7 linked regions of the Oryctolagus cuniculus genome follow. The protein of the gene in region 1 binds, or shares a complex with, the protein of each later gene. Links are inferred from orthologs where the notes say so. Each region holds a gene or a part of one and is shown in the gene's direction. Other genes may lie near its edges.

Region 1 (3,500 bases):
TTTAGTTTCAGTTTTATAAGTGCTTTAAATCATAAATGTTGCTGTTCTTTTGAAATATCATTTTGCCTTATTCAAATTGTCACTTATTTTCCCTTTTAGACTTCTAGCACAACCTAACAAACGGTTTAAAATCTGGCAAGACAAGCAGCCCCAGACGCAGCCGCTCCACTTCCTTGACCCATTGCCTCTCTCACAGCAACCTGGAGACAGTTTGGGAGAAGTCAATGACCCATATACCTTTGAGGACGGTGACATAAAATACATCTTCACAGCAAATAAGAAATGCAAACAAGGGTCGGAGAAAGATTCTCTGAAGAAGAATAAGGTACCATTTAACAGAGAGACAGAGTCCAGCGTGGTGTGGGTTCTATCTTTGTTACTACACCATGTTTGGGAAGACTTCGAGGCAGAGTGTTTGAGATAGCCTTGCCTGATTGCTCTGTCCCCATACTCATGCTCTTGGTACTATTGTAGCGAACAGCGTATTGTTCCTTTTTATGTCATGGCTCACCTTTGTTTAAAAGTCAGCCGAACATAAATGAAGCCTCATATTTTCCAGGCTATAGCTTGTACAGTGCATGTTTCCTCTCATATGCTAATTCTTGTTGGCCTATGCTCCCTGCTTAATTCTTTTTAAATATTATTACAAAGTCCCAAAAAGTAAAGGAAAAATGTTGACCATAGTGTGTACTATTTATTGAGCGCCTATTCTTACTGTATTGAGCGCTATTTCTGTATATCCTCTGAATGAATATCAACACTGCCCTTAGATTTTCAGTGTATTTTTACTCATCCTGCTTTCATAAAAGTGAGTACTGGGTGTGTCTGCTGTCTTTGACTTTAAATTTTAAAGTTCTAAAATACTGAGCCACTGAAAGAGATATTCCTGAAAATAGAGGAAATATAAAAATTAAAAGAGATGAGTATAGTTCAGGGGAATGTCTTCTAGATTCCTTTACATACATCTGTCCAGATCTGAAAAAGATCTGTAATTCAGCCTCTAAAATGTTATTAAAGACAGCTTTTAACATCACGGCAGGTCTTAATCAAATGCCACCAGTACTGTTTAGGTGTAAAACACTGATTCACTCATACCCCATAGGATACCCCGTAGGATTGAGGGGAAAGTGGGGGAGTTCTTGGTTCTGTTAAAATCTGGAGAAAGAACATATCTTTTATTCCCTTTGGTTGCATAGACCATGGTTTATCATACTTGTGCTCATAACAAGTTCCATTCTGCCCTCTAATTCTTTGTGTTCTCCCTCATATTCCACACTTTGGGTTGGTGTTCATGTGCTTTGTTTGGCTGAATTTATTATGCAGTCAGAGGATGGATTTGGTACCAAGGATGTCACTACACCAGGTCATTCCACGCCGGTGCCTGATGGGAAAAATGCCATGTCTATTTTCAGTTCTGCTACTAAAACAGGTGTGTACAATGGTTATTTGCCTCACTTGGATTGTTGCTAAAATAAAATGCAAGGGAGATGCTTCTGGATTTAAAAATTATTCTTACTGTAATAGCAATAATTTGATCACATCTTTAATATATTTTTCATAGTTTGTTTTTCAGTTCCTTTCAAAACTGATAAACATATTTGGAAATAATTGTCTCAAAATTTAACTAAAACCATAGGAAAAAAATTCTCAGGCAGGTCTTGTTGGTTGAGATCTGTGTCCTGTCCTCCCTCGTTCTCGCTGGACGAAGTTGTTCACTCTGTCTCTGTGCCTCCTTTCCCGCAGATGTCCGGCAGGATAATGCTGCTGGCAGAGCTGGCTCCAGTAGCCTTACACAAGTGACAGATTTGGCACCTTCCCTTCATGATTTAGACAACATCTTTGATAATTCTGATGATGAGGAGCTTGGGGTGAGTCGGCCGTGTCCACACATACAAGCATTTTGCTCTGTGTCAGTGTTTCAGTGTTTTGTTCTAGTTTAGTCCCCTAAACTTGGGGGTTTTTATTTCAAGTTCTGAATGTGCTTCAGACACTTTGAAAAGTATCCTGAAAGTTACCATATGCTTTTAAAGTATCCTGAAAGTTAGTGTTATATCTGACACCTCTTGGGATTTGTTGGTTGACAGGTGTTTTCATTAGTGTCATTCCAGTTCTAAATATTAAAATCTTTCCCATTTATTTTAATAAGTTTTTCTAAATATGATGGGGCTAATGGAAGTATATAGTTTCTTTATATAGGAATTTTAAAAAAAATTCCCACACAACTTTTTATTCATCTATTAAATCAGAAGTTAGTGTTTTTTTTTTTTTTTTTTAAATTTAGGACTGTTTTCCTTTTTTTCTTTTAAATGCTTATTTATTTTCATCTACTTGAAATGCAGAACAACTGAGGGGGTAAGGGAAGAAGGAGAGAGATTAAGTGAGAGAGCTCTTCCGTCTGTTGGTTTATTTCCCAGGGCTAGGCCAGGCTGAAGCCAAGAGCCTGGATCTGCAATGGAAGTGGCAGGGACCCACGCACTTGAACTATCAGCTGCTGCCTGCCAGCATACATTATCAGGAAGCTGGATCGGAAGTGGAAGTACCGGAACTAAACTGATAGGGGATGTGGGCGTCTCAGGTGGCAGCTTAACCTGCTGCACCACAGAGCCTACTCCTAGTCTACAGTTTGAGAAATAGACAAGTGTGACACCTACTTTTGAGGATCATAGTATTGTGTTAGGGAAGTAGAACTTGTACACACAGAAGTTAACTAATAGGTGATTATAGTGTCAGATAAGAATTAAAATTATTTGGAGATCACCTGAGTGCTAAGAGTCAGGAAATGTCTGTCCTTGTCCTCTTGATCAGCTGTGTACCTCTGAAATGTAAGTGTCTGTTATTTTGAGAGCACCTATAGATGAATAAGAGGGACTGTCTTTTCAAGGAAGCCACTTTATTTATTTTTCCTTCATTGATTCATTTATATGCCTCTCCATCCATTTATTTTACATGAATTGTTGATCATTTGATGATCAGTTCCCTTGTGGCAGGTACTGAGGCTAATCAGTAAGGGCACAAATATGATTAAATTACCTCTCTCTTCTGCTCGAGGTGCTCACAGATATAAGGAGAAATGGCTATGATTAAAACTGTAGTGTACTTACTGCTGTGAGTCCAGGGACAGGACAGAGTCGAAAGATGACAAACCTTCAAGTGCAAACAGGCAGTATCGGTGTTTAAGTTAAGCCTGAAAGGTTAAATAGGGGTCAATTTCCAAAGCCAGTTCTAACTCTCCATAAAATATGTCTAGTTAATAGATATTATGCACTGTTAGTATTATAAGTACTCAGAAGATGATGAGATCATAGTGGCCTTAAAGAAAGAATTTGACATTCAATGTGGGAAAATTGGGGTGGGTAAAAGACAGGGGGGACATTAGTTTGGATCCAGAGTGAGCCTTGATTAAGCACCAAGAATGAACTAGATTGAGGATAATGGAAAACCTTTGATCTGATTGCTGATGGTGGGTAGAGACTGATGGGGCTAGGAAGGCTTTTGGGCAG
Region 2 (2,515 bases), on another chromosome or scaffold:
TCAGGTTGTGAAACAGTGACTGCCCCTCAGGACTACAGCAGCCTCTTCCCCTTGGACGACACGCAGCCGTCGAAGCTGATGCGACTGCTGAGCTCCAATGAGGATGACGCCAATATCCTTTCGAGCCCCAGTGAGTAGAGGGGCTGCCTTTGCCAGCCCCCCCCCCCCCCCGGCCCCGAGAGCCGCGCATGCACAGACGCAGCCACAGGCTCCGCTGGCTGGTTCTTCCCTGGTCCCTCCCTTTCACCACAGGGTTGGGGGGTGACAAACCACGCAGGTATGGCCACAGCTGCCTCAGTACAGTCTGTGCCATTGACTCATCAGCTCTGTGCTTCCTTCCTTCCCCCAAAACACACCCTGTGGTCTGGAGCAGGCCCAGCTGGGACTGGGGCTGCTCCCCACTCTTCCTGCCCGCGGAGCACCGGCCCAGCCTGGCTTCCACGCCCCCTTCCCCTAAGGCCTCTTCGGTGCCATTTCTCTTTCCTGAGAATAGAAATTTCTCTGAGGCTTTTTGGGGACTTCGGGGTCCAAGTGCACGTGTGAGAGGAGGAGAGATACTGGGCCTGCCACCTACAAGCCCCGTGACCGCGGCTTGTTGCTTAGCGAGGCTGAGCCCCCATGTCCTCACCTGCAGATGGGGTGTGAGAATTGAGAGCTGAGTCCTGGTGCAGCCCGGAGGCTGGGCCCCGGCCCTGGCGGTCCTCCTCATGGGGATGTCCGCATTCAGAGCTCCTCTGGACTCTGGTCTGAGGGTCTTCTCTGGGCTCTGCAGGGATCAGCTGATCCCCGAGTTGGGGGGGGCTGCCACTGGCAGAGCCACCAGTGAGTGCAGTGGCCGTCTCCTCAGCGTCCCTGCGCTCCTCCCCACAGCTGACCGCTCCATGAGCAGCTCCCTCTCGGCCTCCCAGCTCCACACGGTCAACATGAGGGACCCTCTGAACCGAGTCCTGGGTGAGTCCCCCGCTGCTGCTCCTGAACCTCTCCCTAAGGGAGGCAGGGGCCACGTCCGCTGGAAGAGGCCTCGCCTCCCCCACTGCACCTGCTTCCCCCTCGCCAGTGCTCCCGTGTCTCCCCGTTTTCCTCTATTTCCCCTGGACATTCCTGCCTGCGGGTCTCGGCGCCCCCTTCTACTCCCCTGCCTTCCCCTGGACTCTGATCTCTGCCTCCTCTTGCTCTCCCGTCCTGCACAGCCAACCTGTTCCTGCTCATCTCCTCCATCCTGGGGTCGCGCACCGCCGGCCCCCACACGCAGTTCGTGCAGTGGTTCATGGAGGAGTGCGTGGACTGCCTGGAGCAGGGCAGCCGAGGCAGCATCCTGCAGTTCATGCCTTTCACCACCGTGAGTGCCCTTCACCCCGGGCCACCGCCAGGCGGCCCAGGCGTCGCTGCACCCGCACCGGGGTGGGGCCTCCTTCCTCCTGGGACCCTGCACCACCTGAGGAACCTGGTGAGCCTCTGTTGTTCTGTCTGTGGCAGGTCTCGGAGCTGGTGAAGGTGTCAGCCATGTCCAGCCCCAAGGTGGTTCTGGCCATCACGGACCTCAGCCTGCCTCTGGGCCGCCAGGTGGCCGCCAAAGCCATTGCTGCCCTCTGAGGGCTTGGAGTGGCTGCAGGAATGGCTGGGAGGGTCCCAGCCTCAGGCACCTCAGGAGGGAAGAGTGAGGAGAGATGAAACGGCGTTGCTCTGGTGTGAGAGCCCTTGGTTGGTCTCCAGAACTTTTCCCCCCTTCCTGACTTCTAAACAGTTCCTACTTTTTTGTAATTTCTTCTCCCCTCTGCCTGTATCTAAAGAGAAGGAGCAGCCTGGATCCTTAGCCCAGGGCAGGGCCCCTGTGCAGCCTTCCCCCTTGCAGATTGGCCCCCAGGACTTCATGGACGCAAAGGGTGTGTGTGTATGTGTGAGAGAGAGAGGGAGAGAGAGAGTGCATGTGCATGTGTGTACGGGCCGTGTATTTTTGTAATGTGAGGGGAAGCCCACCTCAGCTCATTTGTAAATAAAGATCCTCACGGATCACATTGTGAGTGTCCGCACCATGGGTGTCTGCGTCTGCGCCCCGTGTCCCTTGCACTGGAGCTGGGGGAGGGGGGAGGAGGAAGAGGCTCAGGAAGTAGGGCTTAGGTTCCCGTGTGTGTTCACTGGGTAGGGGAGGGGGGCAGTGAGAGCAGCTTCCTGGGCTCAGACCCAAGTGGGGTGACAGCACTGGCCTGCGGCCCACCTGGTGAGCCGTACCCTGAAGCGGGAGGGGTTCTGGCATGCTGGGGCAGCATGTCCTGTTCTGTGGCTCCCCACCCGGTCTGTCCGGCCTGCAGTTTGAGCTGTCGCTTCCACAGGACAGGGCGAGGGACAGCAACGCTCTTGAACCCTTCCTTGCCTCTCCACACGCTCGGAGCCCCTGTGGGAGAGCCCTCAGCCAGGCAGTTGGGGTCTGGCCTTGCTGTCTAAGGCACTGCGGGGAGGAGAATGGGTGACAGGAGCTGAGGATAGGGAGGGCGCCCAAGACAGTGGGCTGGGTGGT
Region 3 (2,261 bases), on another chromosome or scaffold:
GTGGGAAACGGCGTCTGCAGCCAGGCGGGGCGAGGCGACTTCAGACACTGAGGGCCTTGGCTCTCAGGAGGAGGGGCGAAGCAGGCGCAGGGCCCTGCAGGGCCCCAGGGCCTACTGGGAGATGCAGTCCCTTCCCACTGCCCCCCAGGTCAGATGCTGCTGAGCGGGGGTCCCCGGGGCCCGGTCCCCCCGCCGGGCCTGCAGCCCAGCGTCATGGAGGACGACATCCTCATGGATCTCATCTGAACCCGCCCCCAATAAAGTTCCTTTTAACACCCGCCCGGCTCCCGTCACTGACGTCCCCAGCCCCGGGCAGGAGGCCCGGGAGACCTCTGTCCCGTCCTTGCTGCCGCGGGAGCCAGAGGCAGGCAGGCAGCGGCCGGACTGCGCGGTGCACGCGGCGCGGGGCGCTGCAGGACTGCAGGAGCCCGAGCCGCTGGACGCAGCAGCCAGTGGGGTCAGGCGGGGTGCAGGGACAGCCGCGCAGACGCTCCGGGGCGGGAGCGTGGGCTGTCTGAGCAGCAAGTTGGTGGGTGCTTCTGGAGTGAGCGTGAGGGGAGGAGCTGGCGGGGCGGCACCAGGGGGCCTGGGCCGACTCCTGTGTGTCAGGAAGACTCCTGGGCCGTGGAGGGCGGGGAGGCCAGGCAGGAGGCCAGGGCTCGCGGGGTTGGGCCAGGCACGGCCGCTGGTTCTGGTGGAGGAGCTGGTGCAGGGGCGTGCAGGCAGAAGGCGCCCTGTGGGAGCCTAGGCCGTGCTGTAGGGACAGGCGCGTGTGAAGAGAGGGCAGCCTGGGCCTGTCGGAGCGGCCTTCCCGGGCTTGGACAGGTTGTTCAGTGAGGCCGCCCGAGGCGGGGGACCTGGCAGGGTGAGGGTCTGGGCGCAGGCCGGCCTGTCCTGCCCTGCCCTGGGGGCCGCGCGGGTGTCCGGCAGGGTGCGCCTGGACCCCGCTCCGCGCTCGGCGTGCAGCGTCTAGGGCCCGCCCCAGGGAGAGGTTGCAATCTGGTGGCCCGGGGGCCCCTCAGATGGGTTTTGTTTGGCCTTCCGTGTGTTAGCATGCCTGGGCACTTCTTGAGGTAGTTGTAGAAGTGGGGCACTCACACACACACACACACACACACACACACACACACGATCTGTAGTCTCGGCTGCTCGTGAGGTCAGCAGCTCTGGCCCCCGGGCCCACGCTTCTGCCTGGCGGCAGCGGGCAGAACTGCCCTGTCGGGGGCATGTGCTCCCCGGTTCGCCACAGTCCCCACCGCTCCCTCGGCCCCCCACGGGAGGCAGCGGCACCGCCGTGGCCCTGGCGTGCACTGCGGCTGTCCCTGTGGTGGCGTGCAGAGAGTGAAACCTTTCTTGTACCCATGTCTCTACCAAAAGCGGCAAAGCGAAAGAGAGAAGGCGAGGGCCGCGTGTTTCGAGAGAAATGGGAGCGAGACTATTTCTTTGTGGAGGTGAAGAGCATGCCTACGTGTTTAATATGCAAAAAAATCGTGTCTGTGTTGAAAGAGTACAACCTGAAGCGCCATTACGAGTCCAAGCACAGCAAGAGCTACGACCAGTACACGGAGCAGACGCGCGAGGCCCTGCTCAACGAGCTGAAGAAGGGGCTCAAGTGCCAGTAGGAGTCCCCGGGCCAGGCCGCCGGGCCTGCGACCCTCGCCGAAGACGGCGCAGCCCAGGCCACTTTATTTATTCGCGGTGCCGAGCGCGTTGGTGTTGGTGGGACCCTGGGGGTCAGACGCCGCCCCAGGTGGGCCCTGGCCGGGAAGTGACTTTGGTGTCTTGAAGATGGCAAGTACCCGTGGACTGGCCCAGGGTCTGCAGCACAGCCGCGGTGGTGGCGGTGACCTGTGGGAGCCACCAGCATGCCTGGGTCCCAGGACAGAGAACTCGGGCCCTGGCGCTGTTCTCGCCGTGCAGGGGGACGCCCCGACACCTCGACAGACACCGCTCCGTGCGCCGGCGGGTGTCCCTGGAGCTGCTGAAGTCCCCTGAGCTGGCGCATCGCCACCCGGGCCCCCACCCCAGGAGCGCAGTCGGGGTCCCGGCTCCTGTGACCACTGCTCTGCAAGGACGTCACATGCAGCGACTTGAATGTGTCCTCACGTTTGCCACTGTGGGGACGCCCGGACGTGGGGAGCCCGCTGAGCACCGTCCGCTCGGCCACCGGGCCGCTGGGCGCCGGCTCCGGCCCTCGCTTCTGCCGCCCAGCGCTCAGGCCTGAGCCCCGGGGCCGAGGCGGATTCCGGGACCGCCCGGGC
Region 4 (3,023 bases), on another chromosome or scaffold:
ATCCCATGTACAGATTCATTGATTCTAGTGTCTTCCATATTATCCTAATACATGAAGTGAACATGCCTTAGGCTTAATTCTCTGAGCCTGTATTAAGTTAAATATGTAACAGAACTGGTGCCTTGAAATTGATTTTTTTCTTTTAAATATTTCTATTTGAAAGGCAGAGTGATAGAGAGTGAGGGAGAGACAGAGAGCATGAGAGATACCTTCCATCTACTGGTTCATTCCCCACAGGGACATAAAGGCCGGGACTGAGCCAGGAACTCCATCCAGGTCTCACACATGGGTGGTAGGGGTCCAAGTACTTGGGCCATCTTCTGCTGCTATCCCAGGGACATTAGCAGCGAGCAGGATCAGAAGCAGAGGAGCCAGGACTTGAACCAGCACTGGGACATGGGTTGCCAGCATTACGATTAGTGGCTCAACCCAGTGCATCACTACACTGACTCATTAAAATAACACTTTGATCATTGGAATTCTAATATTAAAAAGTTAGGTGAAGTTTCCTGGTTTCATTAACTTGAATCTAATTTTCTGTTTGTGTAAACCCGAGATTTTCTCATACTAATTGAGTAGTCTTTCTGCAGAGTATGCCCAGCTTTTTGCAGCACTTATTGCACGAACAGCAAAAGATATTGATGTTTTGATAGATTCTTTACCCAGTGAAGAATCCACAGCTGCGTTACAGGTAACAACCTTTTTTCTTAGAGAATTTTACTGGTAGCAGAGAATTTTGAATTGAAGGAGATAGATTTATTGACTTTCATTGTAATATTCAGAACTATTTTATGATTATTTTTAAGGATTTACTCTTGGATTTACTTGAAAGACAAAGTCAGAGAGGGAGCCGGAGACAGAGATACCTTCCATTCACTGGTTCACTCCCCAAATGGCCACCACAGTCTGGCCTGGGTCAGGCTGAAGCCAAGAGCCTGGAATTCCATCTGGGTCTCCCATGTGGGTGACAGGAGCCCAAGCAGTCATGTGGGATGCTGGCATTGCAGGAGGTGGCTTAACCAACTGCATCTCACAACACTGTCCCCATACTTTCCATACTCTAGTTCACTTCCGAAATGATCACAGCTGGACCAGGCTGGAGCCAGGAGCTTCTTCCGGGTCTCCCATGTAGGTGCAAGGGTCCAAGGACTTGGGCCATCCTTTGCTGCCTTCCTAGGCACATTAGCAGGGAGCTGGATCTGAAGTAGAGCAGCCAGAACTTGAACAGGCGCCCTTATGGGATGCTGGTGTGGCAGATGATGGTTTACCGTGCTGCGCCATGATGTCAGCCTCTAAGATGGGCGTTTCACTAATTCAGTGCTAGTATTGTCTGTTGAAGATTGTGCTGAATAGCTGTACAGTAGTTGTCCAATTTTGAGTTAGAAGGAAACCTTGTATGTTCTGGTTTATCTTTTTCTAGCAAAGAAGGAAAGGATGGTGGCTTTCTGAACGAGGAATAAAATAATGGATAGCAAAGGCAGTTTGGAACAGAGTCATACTAGATAGTAAGATCTCTTGAAAATCCATTACTTTATAATCATATGGAGGAACTTAAGTTACCTCACTTTGAGAATTTCTCCTATTAAAACTGTATCACTGGTTGCAAAATCACCGAGATTTAAAAATAAATACCTCTACTGCAGTCTCTTCTCCACTCTAAAAGATTGTCAAATTTATGTCTTAAAAGGCTGCTAGCTTATATAAGCTAGAAGAGGAGAACCACGAAGCTGCCACCTGTCTGGAGGATGTTGTGTACCGAGGGGACATGCTTCTGGAAAAGATCCAAAGTGCACTCGCTGACATTGCACAGTCCCAGCTGAAGACGAGGAGCGGCACCCACAGCCAGACCCTGCCGGACTCATAGCACCGGCACGTGCCGGCGGCTAAGAACTGTCTCAAGGCCATTAAGAATTCTACCTTGGATTAAATGTCAGCCTTACCAGCAGTTACAGAAACGTTAAACGTTATGACATGTTTTACCTTTGTAGCTGTTTTTAAAATCTTCTATTTTTACTCTTGATAAACAAGCATATAAAGTTGTGATTGAACCAGCTTTAAACTATCAGTTTTTTTTTAATCTGAGATTACTAAGGCAGATACTGCATTTGTGATCAAAATACAAATAAACATGCACTGTTCTTTGGTGACAAAGTTTGTATGTTGTTTAAAACTCAAATTTCTGTAATAGTCCTGGGGCCAGCACTGTGGGTGGCAGGAAAAGCCACCGCTTGCAGTGCTGGCATCCCATATGGGCACTGTTAAGAATCTGGGATGCTCCTCTTCCGATCCAGCTCTCTGCAATGGCCTAGGAAAGCAGTGGAAGATGGCCCAAGTCCTTGGGCCCCTGCATCTGCATAGGAGACCCAGAAGGAGCTCCTGGCACCAAGCTTTGGATCCACCCAGCTCTGGCCATTGCAACCATTTGGGGAGTGAACCAGTGGATGGAATACCTCTCTCTGTCTCTCCTTTCTCTCTGCCTCTCTGTAACTCTTTCAAATAAATAATCTTAAAAAAAAAAAAAAATCGGTAGTCCTTTCATAAATGAAAACAACCCTGAAGCCAGAAGAGACATTCTCAGTGCAGAGATGGATCTTTCAGTGGGCTGGTATCTTTGCCACTATGGAGGTGGCATTGTATAAATTTGGAGCTTTGAGAAAGGAAGTTTCTGAAAATTTGTCAGTTCTCAGAAACCCAAAGTGTTAGTGTGGCCGGGTGAGAGTAGGTCACACTGAGGCAAACCTTTGCTCTTGCAGAACCTCATGTCCCTTTGAATTCACCTCCACGTTTGCTTTGACTGAGAAAGCCTTGACTCAATGAAATTCCCAGGCTGCTGTGAGTTTTCTTCATCCTGATTGGCTTGTTCTCTTTATCTACAGGCCTGTATTCTGCTCTCATTACCCCCCCCCCCCCCCCCGCTGTATTTTAAGAGGGCCATCCTCCCATAGCAGTTATTTCAGAGTTGTTTTCTCCATCGCTCCTCAGTGTGTCAGCATGTCAGCTACAGTGACTGATGCAGCTCTGGG
Region 5 (3,874 bases), on another chromosome or scaffold:
AGATTTATTTTATGTGAAGGCAGAGTTATAGAGACAGAGAGATCTTCCATCCACTGATTCACTCTGTAAATGGCCACAACGGCTGGAGCTGGGCCAATCAAAAACCAGGAGCTTCTTCTGGGTCTCTCACATGGGTGTGGGGACCCAAGCACTTGGGCCATCTTCCATTGCTTTCCCAGGTGCATTAGTAGGGAGCTGGATTGGAAGTGGAATAACTGGTACTCAAACCAGTACCCAAATGGGATGCTGGTGCTGCAGGCAACAGCTTTATCTGCTTTGACATAGCACCAGCCCCAAAAAAGCATATAATGAAAAAATATGCATAGATTTCAAAAATTTTTTGTACCAAAATGGACTTAAAAATGCTTATTTATTTGAAAGAATGACAGAGAGAGATCATTCATCTACTGGAATACTCTCCAAATGACCACAATAGCCAGGTTTGGGAGCTGCATTCTGGACTCCCACGTGGGTAGCAGGGCCCAAGTATCTGGGTCATCTTCTGCCTTCCCAAGCACATTGGCAGGAAACTGAAACAGCAGTGGAGTAGCTGGGACTCAAAACTAGCAGTCCAGCATGGAAGTCAGTGTTGTAGGAGGTGGATTACCCATTGCACCACAACACTGGCCTCTAGGCTTGTTTTCTGATTCCATTTTCTACAGTCTTTGTGAAATACTCTCAGATACTAAAGAACATAGTACATTTTGTTTGAGCTTTTTTTTCTGTATGAGCTGTTAGTCATCTAAGCATCCCTCTGTGAGCCACCAAGGAGAGGGGAACCACTCCCCACATACACACTGGTATGCAGGACTGCTAAAGTAGTACCCGCTTGCCAGCTGGCCTTGTTCCATGCGTTGATCCCAGCCTGGGTCTGCCAGCGAAAGCCTGGGTGATGAGTAGGTCTCCGTCCGTTGCAGGTCAGGCCGGGAAGCTGATGTATGTCATGCACAACTCGGAGTACCCGTTGAGCTGCTTCGCCCTCTTTGAGAATGGCCCTTGCCTTATTGCTGACACCAACTTTGATGTGCTCATGGTGAAGCTCAAGGGCTTTTTCCAGAGTGCCAAGGCCAGCAAGATTGAGACTCGGGGCACCCGTTACCAGTACTGTGACTTCCTGGTGAAGGTGGGCACTGTGACAATGGGTCCCAGTGCCCGGGGCATCTCTGTGGAGGTAAGATCTCGGTGAAGTGGGAGCAGGTGGTGCTGAGGGGCTGCGCAGCAGAGGGCTCTGAAGGTTTTCCAGGCAGCCCAGGTCACACAGATGTTTTTGCCTGCCTGACCCCTGATTCCAAGCTCCTGGCTTTCTCTCCATGAATTTTTTACCCTTTCTTTCATCAGTTATGGAATCAGTAGCCCAGCATGGGAAATGGGAAGCTGGGTGCACAGCAGGTAAAAGCATACGATGCCTGACTTGCCGGAGAAGGGAAGGGAGAACTGAGGGAGACATGTGGGTGATGATGTGCAGGAGCTGTGGCAGGACCTGCAGCAGACTAGGACAACTTTTGGAGCCACTTTTGGAAGGTGACTCCTTCATCACTTTGAATGTCAGCCTCCTTATTGTTGCTTTGAAATGGGTCTCAGAAGTTGTGGAGTGAAAATGCGCCTTCCTTTTGATATGCTGCTGCTCTGTTTTGTGGTGCAGAGGGGTACCTGTATGAGAAGACTTCATCCGTGAGCCTAAATATACATACTGAAATTGGCAGAGAGGAGTAAGGTGGAAGCTGGCCCTGGGACCTGGGGAAGTCCATGGCCTACCACATACCCAGCATTATTTGAGATTAAAAAACAAGGAAGTTTACAGGGCTTGCATTTTGGAAATCTATGATTTATTAAGAGAACAAGGCTAGAAAACTGTTTTTGAAGTCAGTCCAAGAAATGCCATAAGTGGAGCACAGCTTTGCTCAGGGAATTCAGGCCAGCGGTAACTGCTGACTCGGTTGTGATGCTTCTGGGAGGAGCAGCATTGAAGTAGGGGCTTAAAACATAGAGACGTGGGATGGGTCGGTCTGGGAAGCATCCCAGGTGGGGAAAAGGGCAGTAGCAGTGATTTCTGCTCAGAAACCTCTGGAGCACAGATTCCCTAACTTTTCAGCTTGGGATACACCTTGAGTTGCTGAGACCCAACGGGACCCGCTGTTTGTCCTCCACTTCCACCCTTGTGGGACAAACACACTCAACAGTTTCTCCTTGTGACCCCAGTGAAAAACTAGGAGAGAGGAACAAGAAAACCTGAGATGTGTATTCTTGGCCGCTGCCACCTTGCTTGGGAAATTCTTTTAGGCGTAGAGCCCTGGCTATATCTGCCTTGGAAATAAAGATTGGTCTTGAAGAGGCTCATGAGGATGTGTGTCTACTCTGCCCTCTACTTACCCCTTCAGCCCTACTCCTGCCTTCCTCGTACCTACACACATTTTTCTTCCCTTCTCTCTTTGTTGTATGTCTCAGAATTTTCCTGAGCTCTCCTTGAATCCTCACCAAGCATCACAGCAGAGTCTGCAGAGCCCTGAGACAAACAAAAGGGACCCAGATCTGCCCATGGGGCTAACAGGGAGGGCTGCGGGCTGACAACCTCCAGGATGGCGTTTAATGGGAACAATGCTGGGTGTGTTGAATATTTCCTGTGGACAACACTGTGCTGGCAGGTGTGTGTTTTTGACTCAGGGTTGGGGGACATAGAGGCAGAGGGCAGGAGGGCAAGAGAGCAGACCTTGTCCTTGCCCTCCCTTACCCTCATTCTCTGTTCTTTTGGTCCCCAGGTGGAGTACGGCCCCTGCGTGGTAGCTAGTGACTGCTGGAGCCTGCTGCTTGAGTTCCTACAGAGTTTTCTAGGCAGCCATACACCAGGGATTCCTGCAGTGTTTGGAAACAGACACGACGCAGTCTATGGCCCAGCAGACACCATGGTCCAGTACATGGAACTCTTCAACAAGATCCGCAAGCAGCAGCAGGTGCCAGTGGCTGGGATTCGTTAGTGGCTGGCAGCTGCTGGCCAAGCTTTGTCACCAGAGGTACTCCACAGGAGGAGGTGCTGCCCTCAGGTCTCTGGACCCCAGAAATCTAGGGCAGCCATGGAGGCCTCTCTTCCTTTCCAGTTCCCAGCTGTGGCCTTTGTGGGGACTCTGGACTCCACACCCTTGACCCTCACACAGCCCCCCAACAGCCATTTTGCCCCAGGCCTCACTGGATTTGGCCTGTCCTCAGGAATGGTATTTATGAAGACTGGAGAAGTTTGGACCTCTCCTGCTTTAGGGGAAAAGGTAGGACAGGGGTGCCCCTGCCTAGTGTTGGTGGGGAAATCAGTCTGGACCCACAACAGATGTGCTGCGTTTCGTGTTTGGGCCATGCAGGAATAAAAATCTCTTCCTTAACTCAAAGGATGTGGCTGGAGATGCAGGCGGAAGCACAGCTTGTTTGATGCCTGTCATTTTCTGACCTGTTTGCCAGAAACTGTGAATTGACTTTCCTAGGGTGTTAGCTGAGTTTTTGAGCTCTCCTGTTGATGTCTTTCCCTTCTGTCGTGATTATGTTAAGCCACAGGCTAAACTCTGTCGTAGCGGAGAACCAAAAGGACTGTGGCTCTTACTAGGTAAAAGTTTCTTTCTCCTCTGATAGTACACAGGTAATCAGATGGTCCAGAGCAGATTTAACTGTACCAGGTCATCAGGAACTTGTTTTCCTTCTGTCTTGTTGTTCAGCTATCCCTAGGGTATTATCCTTACCCACAAGATCAAAGCAGACTCCTCAGTTCTGTGTCCACATTCCCCTGGGAAAGAGGGAAGAGAGCGGCTTTTTTTTTTAGAGCATATGACCTGGAGCGATTCAAGTGCTGGTGCCACACTTTGCTGGAAGGCTTCGCTGTGACGCGGAACCTTGC
Region 6 (3,500 bases), on another chromosome or scaffold:
GCACCCAGGCCGCCGTCCCCAGGACCCGGCCCTCACGCTGAGCCACTGGTATCCCAGAATTCCCTGCCACTCAGGGGCTGTGCTGCGCCTGCCACGGGTGGACGGCCACGTGGTGTGAGCCGGCGCCCACGGCCACGGGTGGAGTCCAGCACAGGCTGCAGGCGGCTCAGCGACTGGGGTCGGGTGCAGCCGGGGGTCTGGGGGAGGGGCCTGGGGGAGGGGCCGGGGCAGCCGGGGGTCTGGGGGAGGGGCCGGGGCTCCCGCGTCTCTCCGGGCGTGGGCGTGATGTTAATCTGAAGGCCTGATGTGGCACTGGAGCGGCAGCAGCCCCCCACGATGTGGCTGGGCCTGAGAGGCACACGCGTGTCCCCCCTCAGCCCTGTCCGGTGCACGCGTGTCCCCCCTCAGCCCTGTCCGGCACACGCGTGTCCCCCCTCAGCCCTGTCCGTGGGCTTCCGCGGTAGGCGTGTCCCGGGCTCCCGCACAGGCAAGGCGGGGTCAGCGAGGGCGGGGCTCCGGTGGTCTGGGTGCGCGGGCAGGGGCGGGGCTCCGGTGGTCCGGGTGCTCGGGCAGGGGCAGGGCTCCGGTGGTCCGCGGGCGGGGCTCCGGTGGGGCGGGGGCGGGGCTCCGGTGGTCCGGGTGTGCGGGCAGGGGCGGGGCTCCGGTGGTCCGCGGGCAGGGCTCCGGTGGGGCGGGGGCGGGGCTCCGGTGGTCCCGGTGCGGCGCGCACGGCAGCCCGGCCCCTCCGCCTCTCCCGCAGTCGGGCGCCTCCAGCTTCGGCGAGAAGTTCTCCCGCGTCAAGTTCTCGCCGTCGCTCACGCTGTTCGGCGGCAAGCCCATGGAGGGCTGGATCGCCGTGACGGTCAGCGGCCTGGTCACCGTGTCCCTGCTCAAGCCCAGCGGGCAGGTGCTCACGTCCACCGAGAGCCTGTGCCGCCTGCGCGGCCGCGTGGCCCTGGCCGACATCGCCTTCACGGGCGGCGGCAACATCGTGGTGGCGGCGGCCGACGGCAGCAGCGCGTCCCCCGTGCAGTTCTACAAGGTGTGCGTGGGCGTGGTCAGCGAGAAGTGCCGCATCGACACGGAGATCCTGCCCTCGCTCTTCATGCGCTGCACCACGGCGCTCAGCCGCAAGGACAGCTTCCCGGCCATCACCCACCTCAAGTTCCTGGCCCGCGACATGTCCGAGCAGGTGCGCCGCCCGGGCTCCGGCGCCCGCGGCGATGGGCGTCGGGAGGCCCCGCCCCCGCCCACGCGCTCGCCCAGGGCCCCGCCCCCAGCTTGCTCTGCGCCCCCCCCCCCCGCGCGCGCCCAGGGCCCCGCCCCCGCCCACGCGAGCTCGCCCAGGGCCCCGCCCCCAGCGCGCTCTGCGCCCCCCCCGCCCGCGCGCTCGCCCAGGGCCCCGCCCCCAGCGCGCTCTGCCCCCCCCCGCGCGCTCGCCCAGGGCCCCGCCCCCAGCGCGCTCTGCCCCCCCCCCGCCCGCGAGCGCTCGCCCAGGGCCCCGCCCCCCGCGCGCGCGCTCGCCCAGGGCCCCGCCCACGCGCGCTCGCCCAGGGCCCCGCCCCCAGCGCGCTCTGCCCCCCCCCCCCGCAGGTGCTCCTGTGCGCGTCCAGCCAGACCAGCAGCCTGGTGGAGTGCTGGTCCCTGCGGAAGGAGGGGCTGCCCGTGAACAACGTCTTCCAGCAGATCTCCCCCGCCGGTGAGGGCGCTGGGGCGGCCGCTCATGCCAGCCCCGCGGGCAGGCTCGGGCGCCGGGCACTGGGCACCGCACCGGGTCGGGGGTCTGGGCGGGGGCAGGCGGCGGGCGGCAGCCTGGGCAACATCGGGCGCCGGGTCTGGGGTCTGGGCGCAGGTGGGCGGGGGGGGGAGCATCGGGCACCGGGTCTAGGTGGGCGGCGGGCAGCGGCCTGGGGGGCATCGGGCACCGGGTCTGGGGGGCATCGGGCACCGGGTCTGGGGTCTGGGAGGGGGCAGGTGGTGGCCTTCCCCCAACACACAGCCTGCTCCTGCTCCCCCCCACAACCTGCTTCCCCCCACACACAGCCTGCTCCCCCCCCCACACAGCCTGCTCTCCCCACACAGAGACCCCCCAAGGACACAGGTGTTTTTCCCGCAGTGGACACCCCAGCTGGCCTGGAGGCTGCCCCAGGGCCCTGGGCTCCCCGGCAGCCGCCCCCCAGTGCTGGGCGCACAGGCAGGGCGTGACGCTCGCGGGGCCTGCGCCCGCCGTTTCTTCAGCCCTCGTCCTCGCGCAGCTGTGGGCCCCTGGGAGGCCGGGACGCTGGCTCTGTCCAGCCCTGTCCCTGTGACCGCGGCCCCGCCCAGAGCCCCGTCCCCCTCCCCTCGACCAGGCTGGGTCCCCACGCTCCCGCAGCAGGGCCCTGGGGGCTTGAGTCAGGGAGCCTGGGGCCCCGTCAGACCCGAGATGTGGCCCCTGCTGTCCACCCTCCTCGCCGCGGCGTCCACCCCGGGCACCTGCCACAGTGCAGCCTGGCTCGGGCAGGCACGGGGTCAGAGCCTTGGTCAGGGGCCGGCCTCCGGGGCTCCGCCGTGTTGGACGCGTCCTGTCGGCCCGCGGGGGCAGCTGTCCCCTGGGGTGGGCGGGGCGGGGCTCAGCGGCCACCTCCTCCTCCTCCTCCAGTTGTGGACAAGCAGCCCATGATCCTCAAGTGGCGCATCCTGTCGGCCACCAACGACCTGGACCGGGTGTCGGCCGTGGCGCTGCCCAAGCTGCCCGTCTCGCTCACCAACACCGACCTCAAGGTGGCCAGCGACACGCAGTTCTACCCCGGCCTCGGTAGGCGTGACGGGGGGGGGGGGTCAGCGTGTCCTGGGGTGGGGGGGTCAGCGTGTCCTGGGGCTGGGCAGGGGTCAGTGTGTCCTGGGGGGGTCAGCGTGTCCTGGGGCTGGGCGGGGGGGGTCCATGCCCTGGGGCTGGGCGGGGGGGGTCAGCGTGTCCTGGGGCTGGGGGGGGTCAGCGTGTCCTGGGGCGGGGCAGGGGACGGTCAGCGTGTCCTGGGGCTGGGGGGTCAGCGTGTCCTGGGGCTGGGCGGGGCGGGATCAGCGTGTCCTGGGGCTGGGGGGTCAGCGTGTCCTGGGGCTGGGCAGGGGGGGGTCCATGCCCTGGGGCTGGGCGGGGGTGGTCAGCGTGTCCTGGGGCGGGGCAGGGGGGGTCCATGCACTGGGGCTGGGCAGGGGTCAGTGTGTCCTGGGGCTGGGGGGGGTCAGCGTGTCCTGGGGCGGGGCAGGGGTCCGAGCCGGGCTCTTGGCTTGTGTTGACGTTTGGATGCCGGCCCTGAGCTCCCCAGGTCTCCACACCAAGCCTCAGTTTGCACAGCTGCCCAGCCCAGGCCCTGCCCCCGCCTCACGGCCTGCGGCGAGGGGAGGGACAGCCCCCACCCCCTTCCACCCCAGGCCCTTTGTGTCTGGCTCCTGGAAGGCCGAGGCACCCCTGCCGGGAGCCCCAGGTCCTGGCGGCTCCGTCCCTGTGGGAACAGGGG
Region 7 (4,149 bases), on another chromosome or scaffold:
GGGCTGCACTGCGTGGTCCTCGCGTGCGTTCTCTCAAGGGGCAGCCCAGGGTGCCGTGGCGAGCCTCAGCAGTTGTGCCTGGTGTCTCCCGGAGGTTGGTCCCTGTTCCCGCTCGGTGCAACTCTTCCGCGGTAGAGCCGGCTCAGCGCTGTGTGCGGGTCCCCTCTCGCGGGCCCCAGGTCCTGTGCAATCTCCTGTAGCTGGCATTCTTATTAGCGGTTTCTGGGAGAGGGGGAGTTGCCGCCGGCCCAGTGTCCTCACAGAGGGCAGAGGTGAAGGCCTCGGTGTGGCTGCCTCGCTCGCTTGCTCGCGCTCCAGTTGTGTCCACGTCGGAAAGGAAGCAGCTTGCAGGTGACATTCTGAGACCTGCTCTGCCCCCAGAGGGCCGAGATCAGGATTCTGAGTCCAGGGGCTGTGTGAGCCAGTGGGCCTTGGGCCGGGAGGAGCTGTGCAGACGTGAAGTGGGCGGGAAGCGAGGAGGGTCGGGGCGGGCGGTGGCTGCGGAGCGCAGAGCCGCCGCCCTCTGCTGAGCGGAGCTCCCACCTGAGGCCTGCCGTAGCTCTCCTCCCAGGGCCACCGTGCGTTTGCACGCCTGGGAACCTCCACCGCTGCCGCAGCAGCTTCCCATTTCTGGGCGACTCGTGGGGAGCAGCCAGGCCTCCGCCCGCTGCCCGCACCCAGGCTGGTGCTTCTGTCCCCGACCAAGGTTCCAAGTGCGATTTTGTGCTCGGCCCGTTGCTGCCCGTGGCAGGAGCTCAGTGCACAGGGTCGTCACCCCAGGGACGCCGACAGGCCGCCCAGAGGGCTGATACTCCGGGGGCAGCAGGCCGGCCCGCCAGTGAGGAAGTGCTTTTGCAGGTGGTCACTTGGTGGCTGTGACTGGGATATCCCCCCCCCCCCCCCCAGCCGGGCTGTTCTTCCTCTGGGAAGCCGTAATGAGGGACTCTGCCCCTGTGGGTTTGAGGCTCCCGGGGCGGCGGGGGGGGGGGGGGGGGCTGTGGAGGAGGCGGGAGCGGGCAGCGCTGGGCTGTGTGGGGGCCGCAGGGGCCGCCCCTCCTTGCAGTGACTTGCAGCAGAGGGAGCTGCCTGGGGACTCGTGGGGTTTGTCAGAAGCAGGAAGACTTGGGCTGAAGAGCACGGCTGGACCAGAGCACACACGCGTGCACCAGCGGGGCCCGCTTCCTTCCCGTGTCCGCGCACACACGGCGCATGCCCAGCCCTGTGCAGGCGGCCTCCTGCCCAGCACCACGCAGGCTGTGCTTGGGCGTGGAATGGGAGCGACGGCTTGCTCCCTGATGAGCACTTCCAGAGCTTTGCGAGTAAGTGGTTTTGTAAATTCTGTCTAGACCAGTTCTGCCTTTAAAACTAATAATAAACCAGCAGCAGTGTCCACACTGTTAGATTCGGGGGAACCCGTTTGCGCAGGTGCTTTGGGGCCGCAGCCCCGGGAGGGGGGTACTGCCCACTGCCTGGGGCGTTGGAAGGGTGGCCAGACGGGGAGTCATCGGGCCAGCACGGCGCGGAGCAGGCTCCAGGGCTGTGGATGGGCCCTTGGCTCAGCGTTGAGTGTGGGCTGGAGACCCCGTGCGGCCTGGGGAGAGCACAGAAGCAGCACCAGGGCCATCTGGAGGTGGCCCTGTGGTTTCGAGGAACGTTCTGGAAACTGTGCATTTCCTGCTGGGGAGGGTCAGAGTCTGATGCCACTGTCCCTTCAGGCTGGCGGGCGGGGCCTGTGCAGCCTTCTAGCTGGGTGGTCTTTCTCCTTGGGCCATCTGTTTCTTTACCTGGAAATGGGGGCGTGGGGGTGAGCACTGAGAGATGTGGGCTCCTGTGCAGCCCGCCGGGCCGGGGCAGGCTCAGGGCTCAGGCCTGAGGGAGCGTGGCACACCGCCAGCTGCAGGCCGGAGAGGGCCCTCCCCGAGGTGGAGACGGGGCTGGGAGCGGAGGGACCTCTCCGACTGCACGGCCGCGTGTCTCAGTTCCTCGTTTCTGCTCAGGGCTGGAAATCCCCCGCGGGCAGCGTTGCTCGGGCGCTGCAGGCGCAGCCCCGCTTCCCCAGGTGCGGCTTTGCCGAGGCCGCCTGGGCTGCAGGTGCCCTCACAGCCCCGCGGCAGTGCGACTCGGACGGCGGTCTGGGCTCCTGGGGGCGTGAGGGTGGCCACAAGGCAGAGCGGCCACGGCCTGTGACCCAGCTGTGGACTCTGCACCATGTGCCTGGCTCCCGGCTGCTCCCGCACGGGTGCGGCGGTGTCCTCTCCACCTATGGAGACGGGCAAGGGCTTTTGCCCATGTCCTCACCCTCGTGTGACAGACCTGGAACACCCCTCCTGCCTGCTGGCTGGTCTCGGCTGCCCGTGCACCTGCCCTCTCTGTGGCCGTAGCCATCCTGGGCTCCCGCTAAGGGAGAAGCTTGAGTCAGGCCGCGGGCCGAGCGCTCAGCCCTGCCTTCTGGCTCAGGCACGCAGGCCGTTTCTGTGCTGGGACTGGCGGGCGGCAGACCCGCAGCCTGCGGGAGGCCCGGCGAGGAGCTCCGGGGGGCTCAGCAGATGGAGGGGCCGTGTCCTTTGGAGCAGAGGTTAGGCCAGCACGGCCCCCTCCCCGCACTGGTGGCAGATGGTGGAGCCACACGCCGCGGAGGGGCTGCCATCGGGTCTGTGCTCCCTCACCTGAGTGCCTGCCAGTCGTCTGGAGCCGAGACCTTCCGTCCGGTGTTAACAGATCAGGTGTGATTTGTCGTGTATATACATTTGTTATCTTCGGCAAATTTCAGACATCAAAGCAGAGAGGAGTCTGCTCCGCGTCCTGTTGGGTGGACAGCACGTGGAGCCAGTCCGCTCTGCTGCCGTCCCATCCCCGGGAGAGGGGCAGCGCTCCTGGGCCCCGGGCTCCCTGTGGGCGCTCCCCTGTGTGGGTCCGGCCCCGCTTCCTTCGCGTGTCGGCTGTGAGACGTGCTGGCCACACCTGTGCAGGAAGCCTCAGGTCTCCTGGGGCGTCCGCGCCTGCGCTTGGGTCTCGGTGGCGCGGGCACGGGAGAGCCTCGAGCGCCCGGCATGCATGCCGCACGTCCGGCTGGCCACCCTCACCTAGATAGCAGGTCACCTCTCCCTGCTAGTTCCGCCCGCCTTGACCCTCCAGCCCAAGACCAGGCGTCCCCACTCGTGTCTGTGAGACCCCAGAGACACGGGCTGGCCGGTGTGTCCTTTCCTGTCGGCCCCGAGTGCTCTCCAGGCCAGGATCCCGTGTGACAGTCCACAGCACCCCTGGGACTGCTGCCCGAGAGCCCTCGGGGTGGGCACCTCAGGGCCCCCTCCCACTCCAGGCCAACATGGTGGTGGTGGTGATCGGGACGGCCCCTTGGTGGAACTGGGCCGGCACCGGCTTCTCTGCTTCGAGGAAAGCAGTGATGTGCATCTGCTCGGGGAGCCCTGACAAACCTAAGAGGCCGCAGTCCCTGCCAACTCCTCCCTTCTCCGAAAGCCACTTGGCAGAGGGTGGGGAGGTGTTTGGCCTGGGAATGAATCCCCAGGAAGAAGCTGCGGGCCCCCAGCGCCCTGTGTGCCGTGGGCGGTGTCGGCAGAGCCGCCTTAGGCTGCCTCGGGGGCAGCGCCTGTGCTGGCATTCGGATCAGGCACATTTCTCCACGGCTCCGGGAGCGACCGAGACCTGGGGCGCGGCAGCAGCGAAGGCTGGTGGGAGACAGAGTGTGTGGGAGCCAGCCCGCGCCCCCCGTGTCTGTCCCCTCTCGGCCTTGCCCTGGTGGTCCGTCCTGGCCGCCAGAGCCCCTGTCAGCCACAGGCTCCCTTCACTGACGGTGGGAGGCCACTGGAGGGGTATGGTGTGGTAGGCGAGGCAGGTTTCCCGTGGCCAGCTCGCCTCTTGCTCCTCAGGGCCCCGCACGGCTGGGTGCTCGGTGTCCCCTGGGACAGAGTGGCCGTGTTGGGCTCTGCAGGGCTGTTGGATCAGGGACCTTCCATGTCCTGCCCGCCTTCGTGGGGGGCCGGCACTGCATTGCTGGGGGTGGGGGCCTGACTGCTCTGGAATGTTCCGCTGGTGTTCAGGGGCACGCACCCCTCTCTACCTGACCTGGCTTTGTAGGTGGAACCCCAGGAGCCTGGCCTCCTCCCCAGCGGGTAGAGAGATCTGCAGAGG

The links.
Region 2: MED13L (region 1) and MED24 share a complex: the UniProt entries of both Homo sapiens proteins name them as parts of the mediator complex. The link is inferred for Oryctolagus cuniculus from reciprocal best matches to the Homo sapiens genes MED13L and MED24.
Region 3: MED13L (region 1) and MED25 share a complex: the UniProt entries of both Homo sapiens proteins name them as parts of the mediator complex. The link is inferred for Oryctolagus cuniculus from reciprocal best matches to the Homo sapiens genes MED13L and MED25.
Region 4: MED13L (region 1) and MED21 share a complex: the UniProt entries of both Homo sapiens proteins name them as parts of the mediator complex. The link is inferred for Oryctolagus cuniculus from reciprocal best matches to the Homo sapiens genes MED13L and MED21.
Region 5: MED13L (region 1) and MED20 share a complex: the UniProt entries of both Homo sapiens proteins name them as parts of the mediator complex. The link is inferred for Oryctolagus cuniculus from reciprocal best matches to the Homo sapiens genes MED13L and MED20.
Region 6: MED13L (region 1) and MED16 share a complex: the UniProt entries of both Homo sapiens proteins name them as parts of the mediator complex. The link is inferred for Oryctolagus cuniculus from reciprocal best matches to the Homo sapiens genes MED13L and MED16.
Region 7: MED13L (region 1) and MED26 share a complex: the UniProt entries of both Homo sapiens proteins name them as parts of the mediator complex. The link is inferred for Oryctolagus cuniculus from reciprocal best matches to the Homo sapiens genes MED13L and MED26.

The regions. Positions count from the first base shown.
Region 1 is NC_091452.1:12,506,744-12,510,243, reverse strand, and holds part of MED13L (mediator of RNA polymerase II transcription subunit 13-like), read left to right. Parts: intron 1-99; coding exon 100-325; intron 326-1,323; coding exon 1,324-1,429; intron 1,430-1,743; coding exon 1,744-1,868; intron 1,869-3,500. UniProt on the Homo sapiens protein: Component of the Mediator complex, a coactivator involved in the regulated transcription of nearly all RNA polymerase II-dependent genes.
Region 2 is NC_091448.1:22,404,805-22,407,319, forward strand, and holds the end of MED24 (mediator of RNA polymerase II transcription subunit 24), read left to right. Parts: intron 1-30; coding exon 31-130; intron 131-870; coding exon 871-951; intron 952-1,190; coding exon 1,191-1,339; intron 1,340-1,476; coding exon 1,477-1,593; 3' UTR 1,594-2,015; downstream 2,016-2,515. UniProt on the Homo sapiens protein: Component of the Mediator complex, a coactivator involved in the regulated transcription of nearly all RNA polymerase II-dependent genes.
Region 3 is NC_091449.1:7,724,013-7,726,273, reverse strand, and holds the end of MED25 (mediator of RNA polymerase II transcription subunit 25), read left to right. Parts: intron 1-148; coding exon of another isoform or gene 149-246; exon of another isoform or gene 247-278; intron 279-1,377; coding exon 1,378-1,622; 3' UTR 1,623-1,761; downstream 1,762-2,261. UniProt on the Homo sapiens protein: Component of the Mediator complex, a coactivator involved in the regulated transcription of nearly all RNA polymerase II-dependent genes.
Region 4 is NC_091440.1:124,258,902-124,261,924, forward strand, and holds the end of MED21 (mediator of RNA polymerase II transcription subunit 21), read left to right. Parts: intron 1-590; coding exon 591-691; intron 692-1,687; coding exon 1,688-1,864; 3' UTR 1,865-2,523; downstream 2,524-3,023. UniProt on the Homo sapiens protein: Component of the Mediator complex, a coactivator involved in the regulated transcription of nearly all RNA polymerase II-dependent genes.
Region 5 is NC_091436.1:127,992,858-127,996,731, forward strand, and holds the end of MED20 (mediator of RNA polymerase II transcription subunit 20), read left to right. Parts: intron 1-917; coding exon 918-1,171; intron 1,172-2,445; exon of another isoform or gene 2,446-2,642; intron 2,643-2,756; coding exon 2,757-2,972; 3' UTR 2,973-3,374; downstream 3,375-3,874. UniProt on the Homo sapiens protein: Component of the Mediator complex, a coactivator involved in the regulated transcription of nearly all RNA polymerase II-dependent genes.
Region 6 is NC_091447.1:58,472,558-58,476,057, reverse strand, and holds part of MED16 (mediator of RNA polymerase II transcription subunit 16), read left to right. Parts: intron 1-760; coding exon 761-1,192; intron 1,193-1,593; coding exon 1,594-1,699; intron 1,700-2,641; coding exon 2,642-2,797; intron 2,798-3,500. UniProt on the Homo sapiens protein: Component of the Mediator complex, a coactivator involved in the regulated transcription of nearly all RNA polymerase II-dependent genes.
Region 7 is NC_091447.1:64,938,934-64,943,082, reverse strand, and holds the start of MED26 (mediator of RNA polymerase II transcription subunit 26), read left to right. Parts: upstream 1-1,349; 5' UTR 1,350-4,039; coding exon 4,040-4,149. UniProt on the Homo sapiens protein: Component of the Mediator complex, a coactivator involved in the regulated transcription of nearly all RNA polymerase II-dependent genes.